Sus scrofa: one gene and its partners. The protein of the gene in region 1 interacts with the protein of each later gene in a pairwise test. Links are inferred from orthologs where the notes say so. Each region holds a gene or a part of one and is shown in the gene's direction. Other genes may lie near its edges.

Region 1 (4,991 bases):
GGATCCTTAACCCACTGAGTGAGGCCAGGGATCAACCTGCAACCTCATGGTTCCTGGTCGGATTCGTTTCCACTGCGCCTTGATGGGAACTCCTGTAACTCCTTTTTAAAGGCCTGGATGTGCCACTGCTATGGAGTGATAGTGAACATTGAGAAGGCTTTCAGGAAGGGGGCTGGGGGAAAAAATAACAAAAAATGATGACGTGCATTCCGTCCACAATTTATACAGGCCAAATCAGAAGAAAACCCACATTGCTTTACTTCATTGAGGAATTGGAATCACAAAAGGAAACAGGTGACCTGAAGTCTGTGTGTGGAAGGAAGACAGTTCCTTATTCATTCGTTTCATTGGCAGATGGCGTGAGGCAGGTGTATGGAGAGTTTAGTTACAGGGAGAGACTGGAGGTGGGCCAGTCACTATCCGATGCTGCTCCTTTTGAAAAGAAAGGGCTGACTAGTTCATTGATGAGAAGCTCTACTTGCAGACACACCTCTCTGCCCAATGTAGCCCCACCACGGTGTGTTTATCCACACAGCCCAAAGTCCTACGAACTACTTCCCATAACACAGAGCTTCTTGTTTGGGCTTTTAGGTAGAGTTTAAAGTAAATTTTAAGAGTTATATAAGGCGCTTCATAGATATTCATCAAATTGAATTGAAAGGATGTAACCTCAGAAGTACGGCACACAGAAACGTATTTTGCAACCACTTTTGGGGTGGGCACCAAATAATAAGCTAAAAGGAAGTAAAGGGAGCAAGACCAGGAGCAGGAAAAACGAAAGAACAGAGGAGAATCTCAAAACTTCCTTTTTGTTTGGGAAAATTGGTTTTACATTTAAATATTTTACACAATAATTTGATCTCATCTATATCACAAATATTCAACTATGTGCTACTTAAACAATCCTAGGTATATTACTTAGCTTTTTCCCTCATTCGAACAAAATGGAAATTACAGAAAGCCACGGAAGCCCAGCCTCTGGGTTTTCCAAACCTCAGAGTTTGGGCGACGTTGATTAATCTCCTAAATTCTTGGGTGTCAAAGGCACCAAGGAAGCCAGAAAAGGAAAGAGCCCCCAAAGGAAAGCGGCATTTCATTGGGAACTTTCAGACATCTGTCACTCTTTGTGACAAGTGCAAAAAAAATTCCTTTGCACATTTCGTGACTCACAGGTGGGATGGAACTGACAGCTGAAGTGACGGGAGCTGTGGGGGGGGGGGGGGCAAATGAGAGCCTGGCTTTGAAGATTGTGTTTTTCACGCAGCATCATTAAAACCAAAACCAAAACAAAACAAACACCTGAGACCAAAGTTGTCACCTGAAATGCCATAAGTGTCTGTTTAAAATGTCCTACTTGATATGACATGGGCTGGAGTATGCGCCCACCTAAAAGCGAGGTCACGCACAAAGTTGGGAAAAGAGACAATGCCCAGGTCTCTGCTGAAAAAAGAAATTTTGTTTCCTGCTCTGGCCCCTGGGTTCAAATCCCCGTGCTGGCGCCGGCGGGGAGAGAGGCCCCTGGAGAAGCCTGCTTTTAATGAGCTTCCCAATCAGCTCGCGAGGGCCAGGCGCGCCCCCTCCCTCGCCCAGCTCGCGTCCTCTCCCGGCCCGCTTCCCGCATCCCTCCCATTCTCCATTTCCCTTCCGTTCCCTCCCAGTCTGGGCGTGCTCGAGCCCAAGGCAGGATCGGGGTCCCCGCCTTCCAGTCCGAAAATCCCGCCAAGGGAGCCGAAGAGCAGAGGAAAAGCCAAAGTGGGGAGAGGGGACGAAAGAGACCTGTGAGTCACCGTGTGGCAGTCAGGGAGCAGCCGCTTCCGCGAGCAGCAGCGACTGGGGTACCTGGACTCCAGGCAGGAAACCTCGCCCCATCAACAAAGGCAGCCTGAGCGCGCACCACACGTTTGCAACTCCAAGTAAGTGGAAGGCGACGCGCGATTTCTCTGAGGTGTCTCCAGCCACTGTTCAGGGTGCCAGCGGATGATCGTGGCAGGAGTGGGTGAAAAGCTGCTGGTGCCTTTACTCCTGAGGCTGCTTTCAAAACTGATCTGCTCCAGAGGCATATTTGGGGGAAGTCAGGTCAGGATAGTTCAGGGTGCCCTTAGATGAGTGGAAGGAAAGAAGCTTATGCGATGTTATGCATGATTTTGCCTGTGTTCCTGAGTCCAGCTGGAGAACATGCAGGAGCTTTGCTTTTTGTAAAACCGGAGTTAGTAGGTGTGTCCATGGCTGGGTAGAGAAGAAAGTAAGCAGCCTGAGCAAGCAGGGCTCATTTTCCCATCCTTCTGCTTCCCGGATTGCCCCAGGGCTTACCAGCTGATGCATCTTAGCTGGCATTTCTGGGTACCAAGTGGGGGCTTGTTCCTCCCAGTGCCAGCTGACATTGAGCATCTCTTGCAGAGCATCTGGCATTCTTTGTTCTGCCTGCCAGCCCAGGAATGGTTCTAGAAATGGTTACATTCAAAGTTTGAAAGACACACCTTGAATCCCATTTCTTATTTGAATGATAATTTTAATAACTTCCCTGTACAGAGGCACTTGAACTTTTTATTTCACTCACCTACAGCTAGGATATATTTATTACTAGTCTGCTAGATACTTAGTTTCTGGTTGATGTTTCTAATAAGTTAAAATATCTTCAAAGGGAGAAATGTGTTCTACTCCTTCCCTTCCCTACTTAACAAACACAACATAAAACTTCCTGTCTCTTCAACACACACACACACACACCTTTTTCTTTAACACAAAACACAGACACAAGAAGACACATTGAGTTTTACTCACCCCCACCTCTGTTAATAGTTTTGAGGACACACTGAAAAAATAGGAGTGGCATGTGGGGGGGAGGGGAGGTGATGAGTGGGGAGAGTGAACTTTTCCAGAGAAATCAAAGTGCAGTCTTTCTGCATCTTTCATCTTCATCTTGGGGGTTATTTAGGAATTTTGCTTTAAGGGTTTGAGAAAGGTGATGTGTGTGTGTGTGTGTGTGTGTGTGTGTGGTGTGTGTGTGTGTGTGTGTGGGAAGGGCCTGGGAGGAGATCCAGGAACTACCAAGAAGAGCTTTTGAACTAATAACATAATGAAGCAGTTTTATGATCTCAGGCAAATGTGGAGTTGATGAAACAGCAAAGCCCATTTTTGCCCCTGGATCATCTGGGGATGAACTAATACTTGAAATACTATAAGAGGTAATGGGAGTGAAACAAAAGACGTGTCTCCCAGCATTGAAAATAAAGCTTTTATTTTCCATCATCGTTCTGTTCTTTTTTAAGTATATTATATGAAGACCAAATCCTTAAAAAAAAAAAAAATTATACTCCAGTTAAATTCAAAGGAAATTAGTGTGGACATTACCTATTTTCTTCCCTTTGGGATTATTTCAGAATGGTTATGTTTGTTTTTTCGATTTAAATTAGAGGATGAGCTTTTTAAAAATTATTTTATTATCAAAAAACCTAATGCCATTATTTGGGCTTTAATAAACCTTGGTGCTTCGAGTTCTCTAATTGTACTTTTAAATCTGTAGAAAGTGATTTTTCCTCTCCTCCTGTACCAGGCCCCTTTTAGAACTTTTTTTTTTTCTCATTTAGTGAAAGGCCTCTATAAGGAACCCACCTGAAGCTGTATTCCAGCTGTTTGCTTGTAGATACAAATGTATTAAATCCTCAAAGGTAGAACTGTGAGAGAAGAGAAACTACTGTTAATATGTGACTTTTTATTATCTGACTTCTCAGTGGGGTATTATATAGAATGAAAATAATATCATACTTAAGAATACTTATAGTATATTATGAATACAATATATAACCTGTAGTTCCCTAGACAGACCTCTTTCCATGGTATTGGGAATAATAAATTTACTAATTTATTAAAAATTTCCATGTACCTCATTTAGTCTTCCCACATACGCAATATGTAGCAGAACCCACCTTTTTTTTTCCTTTTTTTCACCACGCTGGAGGTATATGGAAGTTTCTGGGCCAGGGACTGAACCCCTGACTCAGCAGTTACTGGAGCTACTGCAGAGACAACACCAGATCCTTAAACCACCCGCTGCGCCACAGTGGGAATCCCAGGACCAACTTTTTGGGTTTTTTTTTTGGCTTTTTAGGGCCCCACCTGTGGCATATGGAAGTTCCCAGGCTAGAGGTTGAATTGGAGCTGCAGCTGCTGGCCTACACCACAGCCACAGCAATGCAGGATCTGAGCCACATCTATGACCTACATACACCACAGATCATGGCAATGCCAGATCCTTAACCCACTCAGTGAGGCCAGAGACTGACCCTGCATCATCATGGATACTAGTTGGGTTCATTACCACTGAGTCACAATAGGAACACCCAAAACTCACATTTTTAATGAACATTTTTGGTGTTTTTATCCTAGAAAATTTTCATAGAACCTTATTATTGGAAATAACTTGAGAGAAATAAGGTCCCTTAACATTTAATCATTTTGATTATAAAATCAATCTTCAAGGAGTTCCTGTTGTGGCTCAGTGGTTAACGAATCTGACTAGGAACCATGAGGTTGCGGGTTCGGTCCCTGGCCTTGCTCAGTGGGTTAAGGATTCGGCATTGCAGTGAGCTGTGGTGTAGGTCGCAGGCACGGCTTGGATCTGACATGGCTGTGGCTGTGGCCAGCGGCTACAGCTCCGATTAGACCCCCAGCCTGGGAACCTCCATATGCAAAAATAAAATCAATCTTCGAAATTAAATATTTTGAGTTTAAATTTTTTTTTCCTTTTGAAGACACTCTTGCTTTCTCATTTAAACAGCATTCTCACATGAATTCTGATCATATTCCTATTTGACTTGTGGTATTTTATTACTCTTCAAAATTTTCTCAGGAGACTTAGTTTGGTTGGCTTATTCAAAACCACGTATAAGTTAGTGGTAGATTGAGGGCCAAGAGTTAGAATTCAGATTGCAAATTCTAGTTCTCTAAACACCTACAAATATGGTGCCAGAGGAAGAAGGGGAGCTGTCCTT
Region 2 (5,108 bases), on another chromosome or scaffold:
TTTAAGATGGAAAGGACCGTGGAGTATGTGCAATGCTTCTGCAGATGACTCAAACATTCTGATGTCTGTATTTAAAGCTAGCATTGGACAATATAAAGAGTGGTAAAACTCATGCTATTGATTCAAATGTTTAATTTTTCTTTACCTAGAATGACAATAAATAGCAAATTAATGCTATTAATTAAAACACCATGACAAGTCAAAAGAGATGCTACAGAAGAAAGGGGACAGCTTGTACTTCAGTAACTTTAACGGCATTTTCCCCCAGATTTTTGAACAAGACCCTGCATTTTCTTTCTTTCTTAAAATTTTATGGAGTTCCTGTTGTGGTGCAGTGGAAATGAACCCGACTAGTATCCATGAGGACTCAGGTTTTGATCCCTGGCCTCACTCAGTGGGTTGGGGATCCAGCAGATGTGGCTTGGATCCCATGTTGCTGCAGCTGTGGTGTAGGCTGGCAGCTGTAGCTCTGATTGGATCCCTAGCTTGGGAACTTACATATGCTGCACCTGCAGCCCTAAAAAACATAAATAAAATAGAATAAAATTTTATTGGGGTATATGTGATTTACCATGTTTATTAGCTTCAGGTTTACAGCAAAGTGAATCAGTTATGCATATAAAATACATGCATTTTCATTTTGTACTGAGCTTCACAAACTGCATATGCAGGCCTGCCTAGGAATATAGCAGTGACTAAGACATGTGATACCTGTCCTGGAGCTGACAGTACTTCATAATGCCTAGAAAACCAGACTTTCTGCGCCTGGAATTTAGAACAACATTTAGAGAAAAATTGAGTAAAGAAACCTGATTACCTTCCAGGTCTGTCCTATCCCGAGATGACACTAACCACAAATTAACACGAGACAGCTTTCCTGGTTTTATTATATGATACAAGAGGTCTGAAAGTAGACAAATCAGGACAGCTCATTCCTTTTTTGTAACTACTTCGGGGGAAAAAATTGCCACCAAAACTAAACTAGTTTAACTTCTACCTTAACACTCATTTACCGCTCAGGGAACTAAGAGGGCTAAAAAGAAAAAAAAAAAAGGCCCCCGCTGGCATCTCTTGCGATGTGTTAACCACCTCCTGGGAGGCTGACCCTTAGTTCCAAAAGAAAGACTGAGTTAACAAAACAAGTCCGAAGGTGGAGAGGGAACTGAGTGCGTAACTGGATAACAATGGCTTCTAGTACAAAGGTTACACATTTCGATTCTCAGTCACAGCATGATCCTCTCACAATTTTACACAGAAGAGATTTTTGAAGGCAAAAGTAGACACACACACAAACACACACACCCGGAATCAGACTTTGGAAAGTCGGAGGACAGCTCAGCAAAGGGAGACCACTGGAGTCAAAGCAGGAGAAGTGGCTCTTCCTCGCAGTTCACATTCATTCCGTTCCCCTGCCCCCACAATTTCTTTTTCATAGTTTGCCCAAACGTTCTTGACTATTCCATTTACCTTACCGGTTCAGGACGCGTACACCAGAAGCCTGGCCTGGCCTCAGTCAAGTCCGCCTCCCCTGGGTTAAAAAGCTCAGGTCCCGCCCACTCTAAATCGCCCCGCCCCTCGCGGCAGCCAATATGGAGCGCCGCGTCTGGTTTTCTCCTATCTCTCTGTTATTTCCTGCAGTCAAATTGTTATCGCGAGACTTCGGGGCCACTATTAGCTGGGACGCGGGACTAGCCCAGCCTTTTCTTCCGCGCGTTTGTGGAGGTTGGGTGTTTTCTGGGCCTGCGCGCCCAACGCGGGTTTCTGAGGCCGGGGCTGCAACCGAGGACGCCAACGGAGACCCGTGCGCAGAGCGGGCACAGGTTGGTATAAGCCGTCCGCGGTCTGGACGGATAGGAAAGAGGACTTGGGCGCCGGGGCCTTGTGGGCGAAGGAGGGGGAGGGCCTGGCGCTTTTCACTTTTCCCGGGACGCCTGCGCGGCTCAGCGGGAGCGGAGGGCTCGCGGTGATTGTGGGCTCTGCTCTGGGCGGCAGGACTCACAGGTACAGGCTAAGCGCGTGGGCCGTTATCGGAGTTGTGGGTGTTGAAGTGCAAGTGTATTGAAGCGAGTGCACGTTTTCTCAATTAGTGGTGGTTAAGTGCGAGGTAACCGTTACCGACGCCATTTTCCTTGCACGAGGTTAGGCACTTCTGGAGACATTCGCCCCAAGGTCGCACTAAGTAAGAGTTGAAGGGATTTTGTTAAAGCTGCTAAAGAGCACTGCCTGGCTCCGTGGCCCCTTGTTGCAGAATCCCGGAACAGGAAGCGATAGGAATGCTTTCTAGTTCCCGAAAGTTTTTTTTTCTTATTTTTATCCCCACACCCGCAGCATATGGAAGTTCCCAGGCTAGAGGTTGAACCGGAGCTACAGCTGCCGGCCTACACTACAGCCATGCAGAATCCGATTTGGATCTGTGACCCAAGCAGCTTGCAGCAACGCGGGATCGTTGAGTGAGGCCAGGGATTGAACCCGCATCCTCACGGAGACAGCGTCCCGTCCTTAACCCACTGAGCCACAATAGAAACTCTTGAAAAACATTTTTGAGTTAAGCTTACTTAATTTTGATAGTGTGCTCTGTAATTATTTTAAACTTAATGTCAGGTATTCCATCATTGCCATTGGATCCAGTTTTTGTTGAATTTCTTTTTTAGGCTGTTTTCATGATTTATTTCTTAGGTTAACGCAGTTTTGAAAACTGCAATAAAACACTATGAAATTATCACACGAGTCCATGAGACATTGTGAATTTAAGATCTAGGTGATCTTATTGATTTCTTAGATTTCAAATACTGCTGCTGAAGGATTTCTTTCATCATTACTCATGTGTCATTACTAAGAATGTTAGACTAAGAACACCACAAAAAAATGAAGAATGATGACATCCTCATAAGGAAATGAAACAGAACAAAATAAGACATCTTTAATACTTTTCCCAAACTACTGTAAAATCTTCCAAGGAGATTTTTTTTTAAAGGAGACAAAGGGCACCATTTATTGTAGTCTGTACATTGAAAAGTGAGAATTCAGAACTTTGGGTTAACACCCATAGTAGCAAAGAAGTAATTTATCAAGGAAGGGGTTTCACAGTAACTTAAAATCTAGTGAGGGAAAGAGGCCATAAATGAAAATTGCAGACCTGAAGGTTAGGTTTAGGTAAGTCCAAATAATTTTTCTGGGTATACTGAGGCCAAAGGCTGCCTTTGTGGGACTTAATCTTTGTTATGCAAGAGATTTCTTGGTTCCCACCACTGTTGGCAAATGGCTTTTTGGCCATTAATTGAACATTACTATTTGTAACTACATGACTGTATGGCTAAGGGTAAAAATTACATTTTTACTGTTAGGGAAAAGAAGTTTGACACTCCTGTAGGAAATCTGGAATCTTGTTCTATAGGATGGATTAAGTAGGCACAACTGAAAGAACCCATGAATAAAATCTTTAGATGTTAGAATTAGACAGTTGTATATGAGAATATTAAAGGCCTTACATTCATTTTTGTCTTAATTTTCGTAATTGACTACATCAATATCTGCATTACTCTGATCCTAGCTGTTTTGTTGGCATTTATTTGTTCAGGGAAACTACATCACATCTACCAGATTTCATATGGTCAGAAGTCTGTTTAAAGCAAAGGACAAGTGACAATTTTGAGAGGAGCTTGAAGACTATATATCAAGATGGATTCTCACAATTGTACAACAGTTTCTGATTCAGCTTTGGAAATTGAGAATCAAAGGTAAGTGTTTTTCTAAAAAAATGTCTACATAAAAAATATGCACAACTGTGAGTTAAGTTTTATTTGGGGCAAAATGAGGATTTAAGTCTAGGAGGCAGCATCTCAAGTAACCCAGAGAGAACTCTTGCAGGGTGACAAGGGGAGGGTCCTGTAACGAAGGGCAGATAACCTCAAGTTAAGGAATTCAGCACATGTCTTTGTATGAGAAGATGCCAAGGTCTGGGTTCACTGAAATAACGTCTTTGATGTGCACCTCAGCTGTCTCTAGCCAGTATCCCCTGTTTTTCCATCCTGAGTTTCCTCAGGGCTCACTATATGGTGTGGCTGCTGGCTGGCAGGTGTTTCTTGCCTGTGTTCGCTCAGGGCTCACCAGCTCACCATCGGAGGTGGCTGAAATCACTGATGACTGACATCCTTTGCTTACTGATAGAGCAGGCAGTGTTTTTATTTCTCAGTTAACTACCACCAGGTTTTCCTGGGAACAGACTAGGTGATAATGTTTACTGTATTGGAATTGCTGTGATAGCATGCATCATTGTAGATAATGAATAGTTTGTAAGGTAATTTTTAAGAATTGGAAAAAAAGGAAAACCCAGTTTCCACAGACTTTCGCTTTAACTACTTTGGAATAGTGGGACGTGTTTGTAACCCAGGGAATCAAATCAGGAGTGTATTCTCTGGGCCAAATTGGTATTTTCCTGACTAAATCATTCTGTTGTGTAACAAGAGAATGGATATTCTGATATTTCACATTATTAAGGATGCTGGTTTATGTATGATGGAGATAACCAGTTACCTAATCCATTGATCTCACTGGGAAATCAAATCAGCATTTCTAGTATATTCACATCAGGTATCTACTAGGGCTACTCTTTTTACTTAGAGGAGACTTTGTCTTATTTAGTGGAGGCTCTAGCAGTCAACAAGGCTGCCTTTGGAACTTAGAAGATCATTTTTTGGTAAGTGCTTGGCATTATGCCACATGGCATGGGCCATTTGAGGTAGAGTGGTCAGAATTAAGTGGTTGGCTGCTACTGAGACCATTTTTTCATCTGGAGTATGTTTTCCTGCTTTGATTTGTAAAAATACTCATAATAAGCATTGGTAATATATGAGTGCAATTCCCCCCCGCCCTTTTGAGGGGGGGAGTTCCCCGGTGTTCCCTTATCTTAGCAGGTAAAGATCTGGTCCTTGGCACTGGAACTTTTGTGCATGCTGCAGGTACAACCCCAAAAAAACTTTTCCTTTTTTTTTTTTCCCCTAGTGACAGCTCTTCCTCTGGAAGCAGCTTATTTAAAACTCAGTGTGTTCCTAATCCACCTAATCCACCTAAACAGAGGCAAAGAAACCCTATTAGAAAATATATTTACT
Region 3 (4,962 bases), on another chromosome or scaffold:
CTTTCTTGGTGGCGAGGAGGGGGATGCCTGTCTGATGGAAACAGATAAGTCCACTCCTACCCCCACTCTGGCCCCTAGGCTTGTCTGAAAAAGGGAAAAGTTTTTAAAAAGTTGCCCAGAGAGCCCACTGATTTTGCAGGGGGGAAAAGGGATAAAGAATTGAGGGCAAGGGGTTGCCTGGAGCACGGCAGAGGTGCTAAAAAGAGAAAGGGTGTCAGGTGAAGTTAAGGGGCTGGCTATTCTCACCTGTGTGTATTCCGAACCTGGAACGTGGCGTCTGGGGGGCTTTGACCCTGGATTTGGGTGTGGGAGAGGGGGAGCATGAAGGGATCTGAGGTCGAGATGGGTCTTTGTGTCAGTACTCCCTCCCCCTTCCCCTCCGCTTTCTAAACAACGTCGAATGTTTTTAAAATTGTGCGTTGGAAATGGAAACCCACCTCCTCTCTCTCCCAGGGCAATTTTATGTCCCTCTCAGCCCTCCAAGTCAAACGGGGGACCCGGATACACCCCCTCAGATGACTTTCTGAGGTAAAACTTCAGGAAAATATTTTCGGTCTGCCCATTATTTCTGTCTACAGAAGCGTGGGCAAAATAACCCTCCTCTGAGGCAAATGTATTCAGGCTGCCCTCCCTCGTCCTTCTCTAGGAGATGAATTTATCCGTGTTAGAGGTTTCTATTGTTTTTTTTTTTTTTCATTCCGACTGCTTTGATTCTCACCATTTTGTTTTACATTCTTACCCAAGACCAATTTTATCCCTTCCCCCTCTCCAGGCTCCTTACATTGTTAGACGTTTAAAATAATAGCGCTCGTGCAGATGGGGGAAGGGAGCAGGAAGCCAAAAACTCATTTCTTCTCCCTCCCCCTTCTGGCAAGTCTAGAGAAATAATATAACATAATATATAGATGTGATTCCTTGGGGGTGGGGGTGGGGAATGCGTGTGGGTGGTGCGGAAAATTCTGGTAGTTTCTTTGCAAAAGGTCTGAAAATACAAACCCACCCCCTGCAGGCACTACGCATGTGCAGCCGACCTATTATGGTGGTTCGTTGTGGGGGAGGGAGAGGAATTTGAGAAAAAATAAATATATGTGTGAGAGATTGATGGTGAGATTAGAAGAAGAGAGGGGCGGGCGGGAGGCGAGGCTTTCGGCCGGGCTCCTCCTGCTTTCTGGGCTGCCAGGCTCCGCCCGCCCTCCTCGCCGCCCTCCTCCCTCGCCGTCTTCCCGAGATCCGAGCCGGGATGTGGGAGCGTCTGGGCTCCGGGCCAGCATTGAGTGGCTGGTGAGACAGAGGTTGGGACTTAGATTTGCTTTCTTGCCCTCCCCTTCCTCGCCGTCTCCCTTGCCTCTCCGCGCCGCCGCCGCCTGCCCAGCCTCGGGAACCTCCTGCCGGGCGGCGGGGGGCGCGCGGCGGGGGTGGGGGGGAGTTAACTGGCTGTGAGGTCCCAGGGCTTGTGCCCCCCCCCCCCGCGGGCGGAGGCGGGGCCATTTCCCTGATCCTTAGCCAGTTGGCCTGCCCTTGCCACTGCCCCGGCAGCCTCCATTTCCATGTTCTTATTAACCGAAGTCCCCGGGGTTAGGGAGCGCTGGCTGCTGGGCACCGGCGTTTTACTGACTTCCTCCTGCAGGCCCCACTCAGTGCCCGGGCTGCCCTCACGCGCCCCCCCACCCCCACCCCAGTCTTAGAGTGTCTCCCTGCTGGGGAGGGCCCAGGACTAGGAGAAGCAGCACTGAAGGAAGGAGGTGCCAGGATTCTGAGGCAATGGAAACCGAGGCCTCCGGTGTTAATTGTGGCTAATTTTCCCTTGGCTGGTGTGGGAGGAAGGATTGTGTGTCCCAGAGCAAGGGGCTGGGCCAGGCCCAGGCTTTCCTCTCCTGCACAGCTGCCTCTGCCTGAGTAAGACAGGTCTGGCTGGTTAGTCTGGTGCCTGCTGGAGGAGGGAGGCCAAGCAGGGCCTCATGTCTGGGTGGCATCCATCAGCGTCTTCCTCCTGGTGGAGTTATGCTCTGTCGCCTAAGCCACCACAGACTGGCAGGGGTCATGGAGAATGAGGTGGGGGGACATCTGGGAAGAAGCAGCCCCAGCCTCTCTGACAGAAACATCTGGAGAGAAAGCCAGGGCCCTAGCCCTGCGGGAAGCAGGTACAGGCTGTCTTCAGGGTTTGTGCTCCTACGTGTGTGTGTGTGTGTGTGGTGTGTGTGTGTGTGTGTGAGGCTTCAGCATTTGAGCATGTGCGTGCCGTGGGTGGGGTCCAGTATCTTTGTTTGGGTCTCCCACACTCTTGACATAGGAACGGGTCAGAATGTCTGGGACTAAATTTGAAGACAAGGGGTGAGACCAGAGGACAAAGGGTAGGGCCCCTGAGTTCTCAGGGATGTGAAAATAGATTTGAAGCGGATTCCAGGCTGCTTGGGAGGAGGAGGAATGTTTAGGTAATTGTGGAGCTCTTCTCCTATGGGGTGACGGTGGTGATGCAGGAGCCAGACCCCGCCATCCTGTGGGCAAGAAGTGGGCATGACTGGCTGAGGATTTCTTTTCCTCCAGGGCTGTGCTGGGGTGACAGGAGATTTGGTGACTCTCTGAGGAATTATAAATAGAGGCCTCCCTCCTCACAAAAAGCATGTCAGGGCCCCAGGGTGTTAGCGTGAGAATCCAGGTGTCCACCTTTGGCTCTGCCTTCTCAGCATCTGGCTTAGGGAGCTGCCAGCTTGTGTCTCCCCACTCCAAGTGCTGGGGTCAGGCCAGGCCAGCAGCTGGGCATGGCTTCCCCAGTTCCTGGGCAGGATGCCAGCTGGCTAAGTGAGGGGGAAGGCAGGAGGAGCCCTGGCGGCGACTAAAAGGACCTGCCACAGTCAGAGCCCGTGGCCTAGAGCCTGGTCCCTTGTTAGTAGGAGGGGAGAGGAGGGAGTGGTTTGGCTGCTCTTCCCTTCTGACCCCTGACCTCCCATTCAGAATCCGAGCATCCCAGAGTACTCGAAACACTCGGGTGCATCCAGCGAAGGGCGGCAGGATTTGGAAGAGTTAATGCTGGGAGTTCCTAGAGAGTGAGAACCTAGGAGGTGAGGCAGTGGAGGGGCCGCAGAGCCTGGGAACATAGAGACTTAAGTTTTCTGGTGCCCTCTGCTCCAAAGATAAAGATGACATTCGGCTGCTGCCTTCAGCATTGGGTGTGAAGAAGAGAAAACGAGGACCCAAGAAGCAGAAGGAGAACAAGCCAGGGAAACCCCGAAAACGCAAGAAGCTTGTAAGTGTGCAGGACTCCTGTCTCTACAGCTAGGCCCGGGGACCCATTTGCAGAGGCCTGCGCTTCCTCTGGTCCTGATTACCAGGGGGGGATCCTGAAGTCGGGAAGGCCTGACCCCCTCTACGCAGCCCCCTCAGCTGGGCTCTGGCACCCTAGCCTCCCTCACTGCATCCTAGTGGGGAGCCCTGTGGGCCCCGTGACTGGCCTTGGAGGAGAGAGGAGCAGGTGAAAGCCCAGGCTCCGGCAGGAGACTGCATGAATTCCGAGCCCCGTAGTCCTCTGTCTTCTCGAGCAGTTCGCTTGGCTCTCTGTGCCTCGGTTTCCTCATCTGCAAAAAGTGGGTAGAAATAGATAAGTTACTATCTCATGGGGTCGTTGTGAGGTTTGAAAGAGACAGCACACGTTACGTGCTTAGAAAAGTTTCTGGCACATGGTAGGGCTAAAGAAATTCTATTTTTATTTCTCTCCCTTAGGACAGCGAGGAGGAATTTGGCTCTGAGCGAGATGAGTACCGGGAGAAGTCGGAGAGTGGAGGCAGTGAATATGGAACCGGACCCGGTCGGAAACGGAGAAGGAAGCACCGAGAAAAAAAGGAGAAAAAGACAAAGCGGCGGAAAAAAGGGGAGGGAGATGGAGGGCAAAAGGTGAGTAGATTTAGGGCGTGAGGGGAGAATTAGGATCATTGACAGGTGGAGGCGGAGGAGGGAAAGCCCTGAGCGAGGGGACGAGCAGATGCTAAGTGGAAAGTCTAGTTTCCCCTGGGGAGGAGGGGAGCCGGCTGGGAAGGGGGCAGGGGCAGAAAGCCTCGGGAGGCTGCTGGGTGCCCCTGCTGGGTGCCTGGGTGTGTAGAGGAGCATGTGGGGGTCCAGGACTGGGGCTGGAGAGGCGCCCTCCTCACGGAAGCCCGGTCTCTCCAGCAGGTGGAGCAGAAGTCGTCAGCAACCCTGCTTCTGACCTGGGGCCTGGAGGACGTGGAGCATGTGTTCTCCGAAGAGGACTACCACACTCTCACCAACTACAAAGCCTTCAGCCAGTTCATGAGGTGCGGTAGGACTGGGGAGTCCCTGCGAGCAGACACATTTAATAGGGGGAGGCCCTGGATCCCTCTGGAACCTGGTGGAAGATAAGAAACTGCTCTCCAGAGAAATTCACAGCATGTACACATCAAATTCCGCATGTCATCTCAGGAAATTCCTGGGCTCCTGAGGATCCAAGGACTCCAGTCAGGAACCCTTCACTGGGGGGGGGGGGGGGGGACACAGTTCCACTGCCAGGTTAGAAAACTGTAGTGACAGACTCAGGGAGGACTGATGGCCTCCTGCTCCAGCAGTTTCCCCTGGCTGACTTCTGTCTAGACTGGAGTGGAGAGAGAACATTCGTGTCCCCCAGTGTCCTTTGCTCAGGGATCTAGCCATCTGTCCCTTCCTTAGACACCAGCAGTGATGGAGGAGGCATTGCTGACAGTGGGACCTGAGCGTCAGCGCTCCTGAAGTAGAGTAGAGCACAGCACAGATGCCTTTTGAGGAAGCAGGCACTTCAGCAGAGCAGTTTCATGCTCTGGAGGCAGCCTACTGGGGTTCAGGTCCTGATGGCATCTGGTTCCACTCACTTCTTGGATCTTTAGTTTCCGCATCTGTAAAATAGGCACACCCAGAGGACGCACCTCATGGGATCTTGTGGGGATTTGATGGGATAATGGTTGAAAGCCCAGTATGCCC
Region 4 (5,197 bases), on another chromosome or scaffold:
GGTCAGCAGCCTCGGTCCTCTCTGCTGCCGCAGCTGTCCCGACTGAGGCGCCCGCCGCCCGCGCGCCCACCGGATGCTGGGAGAGCGTGTGTGCTGGATAGTAGGGCGCAAGCGCGCGCCCTAGCCCCACCTACATCGCGAGGCGGAGCGCAGGGGCGCAGACTTCCTCTGCGCGGTCGCTTGAACCACCCCCGTCCATCATTGGCTCTTAGTGGTGAGAGGGCGGAGCCTTCGGGAAGGCTAGCGGGGGAGGTGTTTCCAGGGGAACCCACCCCGCAGGCGCCTCGAATCTTTTCTGCGGCTCTTTGTGCCAGTCGTTCGTTTGGGCTTCTAGCTCCTGTATTAATTTGTCATTACCTCCTCCCAACCTTAATTGTGTATTTGGCTAGTTTTGCAAGTTTTTACCTTCACCTAAGGCGCTCCGTTAGTGGTCGCTTACGAAACCTCAGGCACTTATTCCATTACCAACATCCTGCTCATCTTCTAGCATCTAATGGTTAAAGGTCCTCCACATATACCAGCTGAATCCAGTTAGACAACCAAATTAAGAAGACATTTATTTAAAAAGCAGAAATGTAAGCAAGCATCATTGAGAAAGCTTCAGTAAACCGATGCAGAACTTCAAACAACAGGTGTGTTGGAACTGTGCCTTACCTGCATGTAGTATTGTCAGTTAAAAAAAAAAAACAAAAAACACCTTGAACCGTCTAAGGCACACAGAAAGAAAAACCTAAGAAAATTAAAACTGGTCCCTAAACCTACGTCTTTTATTTCTGCAAAATAAATGAAAATAACCCAGGGTGTTGAGTAAACCCAGGGTGTTGAGTACATGCATTTTAAGTTGAATAAAAATGAATTAGGAAAAAAAAAAATGAATTGGGAGAACACTCTGGCAACTTGAATGCTAATGGTGGTCATTTAATAGGGAATGTCTCATTACTGACCTTCGATTTCTTTCTCTCTTGAGCACATCCAGCGTAATCCTACGTTAGTCTTCATTTTTGCTGTTCCCTGTACCTGGAGTGTTTTCCCAGTTCTCCAAATCTACATGTGAAACAGAGGTCTTCCCTAACCAACCCAACAAATTTACCGCCCCAATCACAATCAGAACACCCCATTTTTTTCTACACAGTGCTTGCCATTAAGTAGAACTTGTTCATTTACGTATTAGTTTACCAGTTTATTGTCTGTGTACCCCAATACAAGGTAATGAAAGCAAAAGTTTTGCTGGTCTTTATAGTTTGTGTGTAATAAATACTTGTTTACTATTATGCACCTACTGTAAACAAATATCTTAGTATTCATTCTTATGGATTGAATGAATGAAATAACGAACTCGCGGATGTTTGGGTGGGTGAATATATGAATAAATACAGTGAGAGGGTAACAGTCGCCCCCACTCAAAGACCGCCTGTGATCCTCTGGGCGCCAGATACCCAAAAGCAGCAGGTGCACCACGTGGCGGACACGGTGCCACGTGACGGGCTCGGCCGACCCACAAGAGTCCACCACTGTCCCACCATGCACCGCTCCATTTCGGCCTAGAGGACAAGTTGATCCGGATTTCCGGCCTCCGTTCGGTCGCAGAGGTCAGTTGCCCTAACGACGAGCTCGTTCCCGCCTCTACATTACGTCACTTCCTCCTACTCCCGCCTTGATAATTGGTGCGCCTGCGCAGAATGAAATCCAGCGGCCACCGGCTCCTTCTGCGCAGGCTGCGGGGCTGGGGGCGGAGCGGGGCTGGGGGCGGGGCCGGGCAGTGCCGCGGTGCGCAGGCGCCGCCGTCGGTGGGTCCGGGTTCGGCTGCTTGAGAGGTGAGTCGCGGGTTCGGCGCTGAGCCGGATGTACCTGGGGTCAGTGGCTCGGGGCTCCTGGGGTTCCGGGGTGGGTAAGAGGACGTCGATCTGGGGCGGGGACGCCGCAATTGGGGGAGTGTTGTGAGTGAGCAGCGCGGAGGGAAACTGAGGGCAGGAGGTATCGGGCGGGCCTTTGCCCGCCGGGATCTCCCTCCCCTGGACCCTAGGCCCGGGAAATGCGGGTTCGCAGGTCCGTGAGTGGATAGCAGGAGGTAAAGCGCCCCGCACGTAGTAAGCGCTCGCCGAGTGGCCGCTGCTTCCCGGAAACACGGTTCTTTTAAGCCGGAGTCCCTCTGTTCCTGGGGTTCAGGTCGGGGTTCCTGTCCCAGCGCCGCCTCCACCTTGGTCAGTCTCTTGGCGTCTCGGAACCTCAGTTTCCCCTTCTGTAAAACAGGCGTTGTCACAGCCTCTGCCTAGGATTGGGGGGCTTCCCATGAGAATTAAAGTCGCAGAGACCCCAGCGCAACGTGAGAACACAGGAGGGGTCTTTTTTCACACTGAGGGCCTCTGCATGGTGTGCTGAAGTGAGACAAATCTGGGGTTGAAGACTAGGTCCTCCACCCCTGCTGGCTGTGGCCTCTTGGGCAAGTCGCTATCCGTCTCCCCCAGCCCTTTCCTTTTAGAATAGGGACTGTAGAAGTGTATGCTTCTTAGGGTCATTGTGAGGTTAAGTACACCTGGAGCATTCTTTAATCGGGTTCCTGCTACTTGTCTTCCTAGACGACAACTGGTTTTGTTAAGTGGCTGGAAGTGTGTGCGCTCTGCATCCCTGCTGAGTGATGTTCTTATTTTTTTTGGTGTTTGGTTTGCTTTTCCTCTCCCTAGACCAGTGGTTTTGTCCTTTTAGCGGACACTAGGCAATGTCTGAGGACATCTGTGGCTGTCACAACTGGGGGTGCTCCTGGCACCGAGGGGGTGGGGGCCATGTATGCTGCCCCATACCCCACAGTACCCAGGATGGGCCCACAGAGAACAGTCTGGCCCCAGATGTCCATGGTGCCAAAGCAGAATCCAACCCTAGACTAGTGATTCTTCACCAGTGTGCTTGCTGCACAGAGGCAAGGGGTGTGTGAGCCCCTGAGAAGTCACGTGCAAGGTTTTGTGTGTGTGCCCACTTTTGTGGTTGAGGAACGGGTATCTTGGAGTTCAGACTCTGAAATCAGACCATTTAGAACTGATTTGCATTTTAGCTGGGTGACCTTGGGTGGCACCCCCATCTTTAAAAGCCTCATTTTTTTGTTCTATAGAATGAGTTAGATTAAACAAACTGTAACCGGGGGGGTCAGGTCACCCTGCAGTCTGTTTTAGTGAAAGATTTTGTGGGAACACAGCCCACATACCACAGACGTGTTACCTGTGGCCTGAGAAGCTGGCCCTTTTCAGAAAATGTTTTGCTGACCCCTGAAATAAGCTTTTGCATATACAGCACTCGGGTCAGGGCATGAAAAGTCCTGAACACTCCAGGAATTTCACCTGAGGTTTATAATTCATTCTCCCATGGCTCTGGATCGGGTTAAGCTCTGACCTGGATTAAGAGCTGTTCTTACTTGGTTCCTGCATTTTCTAATTTTTTTTTTTTTCTTTTTAGTGCCACACCTACAGCATATGGAGGTTCCCAGGCTAGGGGTGGAATCGGAGCTACAGCTGCCGGCCTACACCAGGGCCACAGCAACTCGGGAACCGAGCCACATCTGCAACCTACACCACAGCTCATGGCAACACCCAGATCCTTAACACACTGAGCAAGGCCAGAGATCGAACCTGCAACTTTATGATTCCTAGTCTGATTGGTTCCCACTGCGCCACAGTGGGAACTTCTAATTTTTTATTTTTGTTTTTTTGCCAAGACCCAATGCTGGCCCCTGTAGCCAATGCACCTGAAAGTGAAAGAATAAAGGGGACGGCTGATAGGTGGACAAATACGGATTTGTCGTTCTCTACTGACGAGGAAACCCAAGAGAAATGATCTCCCAAGTGAACCTGGCCACGTGGCTCTGAACATGACAGGGATCCAAAATTTTCCTGAGTCCATATGGACTGGAGAAGGTGATCCGTCCAATGGCTCACAGTCTGTGGGTGGTGGGCAGGCCAGGAATAGGCTGGAAGGCCTTGTAGGAGATGCTGGGCCAGAGGCAGGGCTGGCACTTGAGCTTGCTGGAGGAGGAGGGTGTCTAGCTCTGTCTGAGGAGGTGACCTACCGGCTTGGTTGAAGGGAAAGTGTATGGTCCCTGGTGACGGGAGGAGAGGAGAGGGTTGGGTGTAGGCAGAGCATGGGGGCTTTGGTGGGGTTTCCACTCAGGAGGTTTCAGGGAGCCATGGAAGGTTTGCAGTGTGGAGAGCAGGCTTGAGATGGAGTTCCAGCTTTCGGGATGGCCCTCTTCTGAGGATCTAAGGTGTCCGGGGAGGGGAGGGAGGAGCAGAGGACAAGCTAGCACACACCAGGTGTTTGTGAGAAGAGCTAGATTTGGGGTGGAGGTGGGACCGGGCAGCCACTCAGAAAGAGGATGTTCTTTCCTGGGGCCCAGGTCCAGGTCACTCATATTTATTTCTTTTTTAATTTTTTAATTTACATTTTTACTTATTTAATTTTTTTTGGCTGTGCCGGTGGCATGTGCAAGTTCCCGGGCTGGGGGTTGAACTCACACCACGGCAGCAACCCAGGATCCTTAACCTGATAAGTGACAATGCCAGATCCTTAACCTGATGATCCACAAAGGAACTCCCCGGCTCACTCATCTTAGTGAGGCATGCATCTTCCCCTTCGAATGTTCAGTTTTGGGCAGGGAAACAAAAGGAATGGGGTGTTTTTAATAATAAGATGAAAAGGTGAGCCAGCCTCTGTCCCCGAGCCAGGCTCTCACCTGCAGACCAGCACCTGGGGTTCCTCCTGAGCCTCACAGAACCCAACAAGTCGTGATTGTTCCTCAGTCCCCAGGGCCCAGTGGAAAAGCGCATCTTCGCCTCACTGGGCCACCAGGAGCAGGAAGGCAATGAGGGAGCAAAGAGAGTCTGTGCCACGGGGGAGGAGAGCGGAAGTCCTCTGGGGACGCCTGTGTCCAGTAGGTGCTGAGTCCCTACTGTGGATTCAAAGGCCCTTTCCTGCAGTTCTGAGACCGAAAATACTCTCCAAACTTGGGGTTTGCCAAAAGTTTGCAGCCAAGTCATTGGCCAGAAAATCTGATCTGTGCCTACCTTCATTTTTCCCACGTGATGTTTATTGCTCATTGTCAGCTGGGGGTGGTTTGGTGACATCTGGAGACTTTTGTGGTTGTCACCAGTGAGCAGGAGGCTCCTGGCATTGAAGAGGGTGGGGACTAGGGGTGCTGCTTGGCACCCTGCAA

Evidence for each region. The genes of interacting proteins can lie anywhere in the genome.
Region 2: the proteins of PTN (region 1) and TAF1D interact in a two-hybrid assay, tested with the Homo sapiens proteins (2 studies listed by BioGRID and IntAct). The link is inferred for Sus scrofa from reciprocal best matches to the Homo sapiens genes PTN and TAF1D.
Region 3: the proteins of PTN (region 1) and CHD3 interact in a two-hybrid assay, tested with the Homo sapiens proteins (2 studies listed by BioGRID and IntAct). The link is inferred for Sus scrofa from reciprocal best matches to the Homo sapiens genes PTN and CHD3.
Region 4: the proteins of PTN (region 1) and SGTA interact in a two-hybrid assay, tested with the Homo sapiens proteins (2 studies listed by BioGRID and IntAct). The link is inferred for Sus scrofa from reciprocal best matches to the Homo sapiens genes PTN and SGTA.

The regions. Positions count from the first base shown.
Region 1 is NC_010460.4:12,218,134-12,223,124, forward strand, and holds the start of PTN (pleiotrophin precursor), read left to right. Parts: upstream 1-1,666; 5' UTR 1,667-1,913; intron 1,914-1,923; exon of another isoform or gene 1,924-2,441; intron 2,442-3,612; exon of another isoform or gene 3,613-3,674; intron 3,675-4,991.
Region 2 is NC_010451.4:26,163,844-26,168,951, reverse strand, and holds the start of TAF1D (TATA box-binding protein-associated factor RNA polymerase I subunit D), read left to right. Parts: upstream 1-1,669; 5' UTR 1,670-1,820; intron 1,821-3,577; 5' UTR 3,578-3,678; coding exon 3,679-3,737; intron 3,738-5,001; coding exon 5,002-5,108. UniProt on the Homo sapiens protein: Component of the transcription factor SL1/TIF-IB complex, which is involved in the assembly of the PIC (preinitiation complex) during RNA polymerase I-dependent transcription.
Region 3 is NC_010454.4:53,137,518-53,142,479, forward strand, and holds the start of CHD3 (chromodomain-helicase-DNA-binding protein 3), read left to right. Parts: upstream 1-1,523; 5' UTR 1,524-2,047; coding exon 2,048-2,141; intron 2,142-2,456; exon of another isoform or gene 2,457-2,471; coding exon of another isoform or gene 2,472-2,571; intron 2,572-3,131; coding exon 3,132-3,244; intron 3,245-3,717; coding exon 3,718-3,888; intron 3,889-4,161; coding exon 4,162-4,286; intron 4,287-4,962.
Region 4 is NC_010444.4:75,877,374-75,882,570, forward strand, and holds the start of SGTA (small glutamine-rich tetratricopeptide repeat-containing protein alpha), read left to right. Parts: upstream 1-1,758; 5' UTR 1,759-1,814; intron 1,815-1,832; exon of another isoform or gene 1,833-1,853; intron 1,854-5,197. UniProt on the Homo sapiens protein: Co-chaperone that binds misfolded and hydrophobic patches-containing client proteins in the cytosol. Mediates their targeting to the endoplasmic reticulum but also regulates their sorting to the proteasome when targeting fails.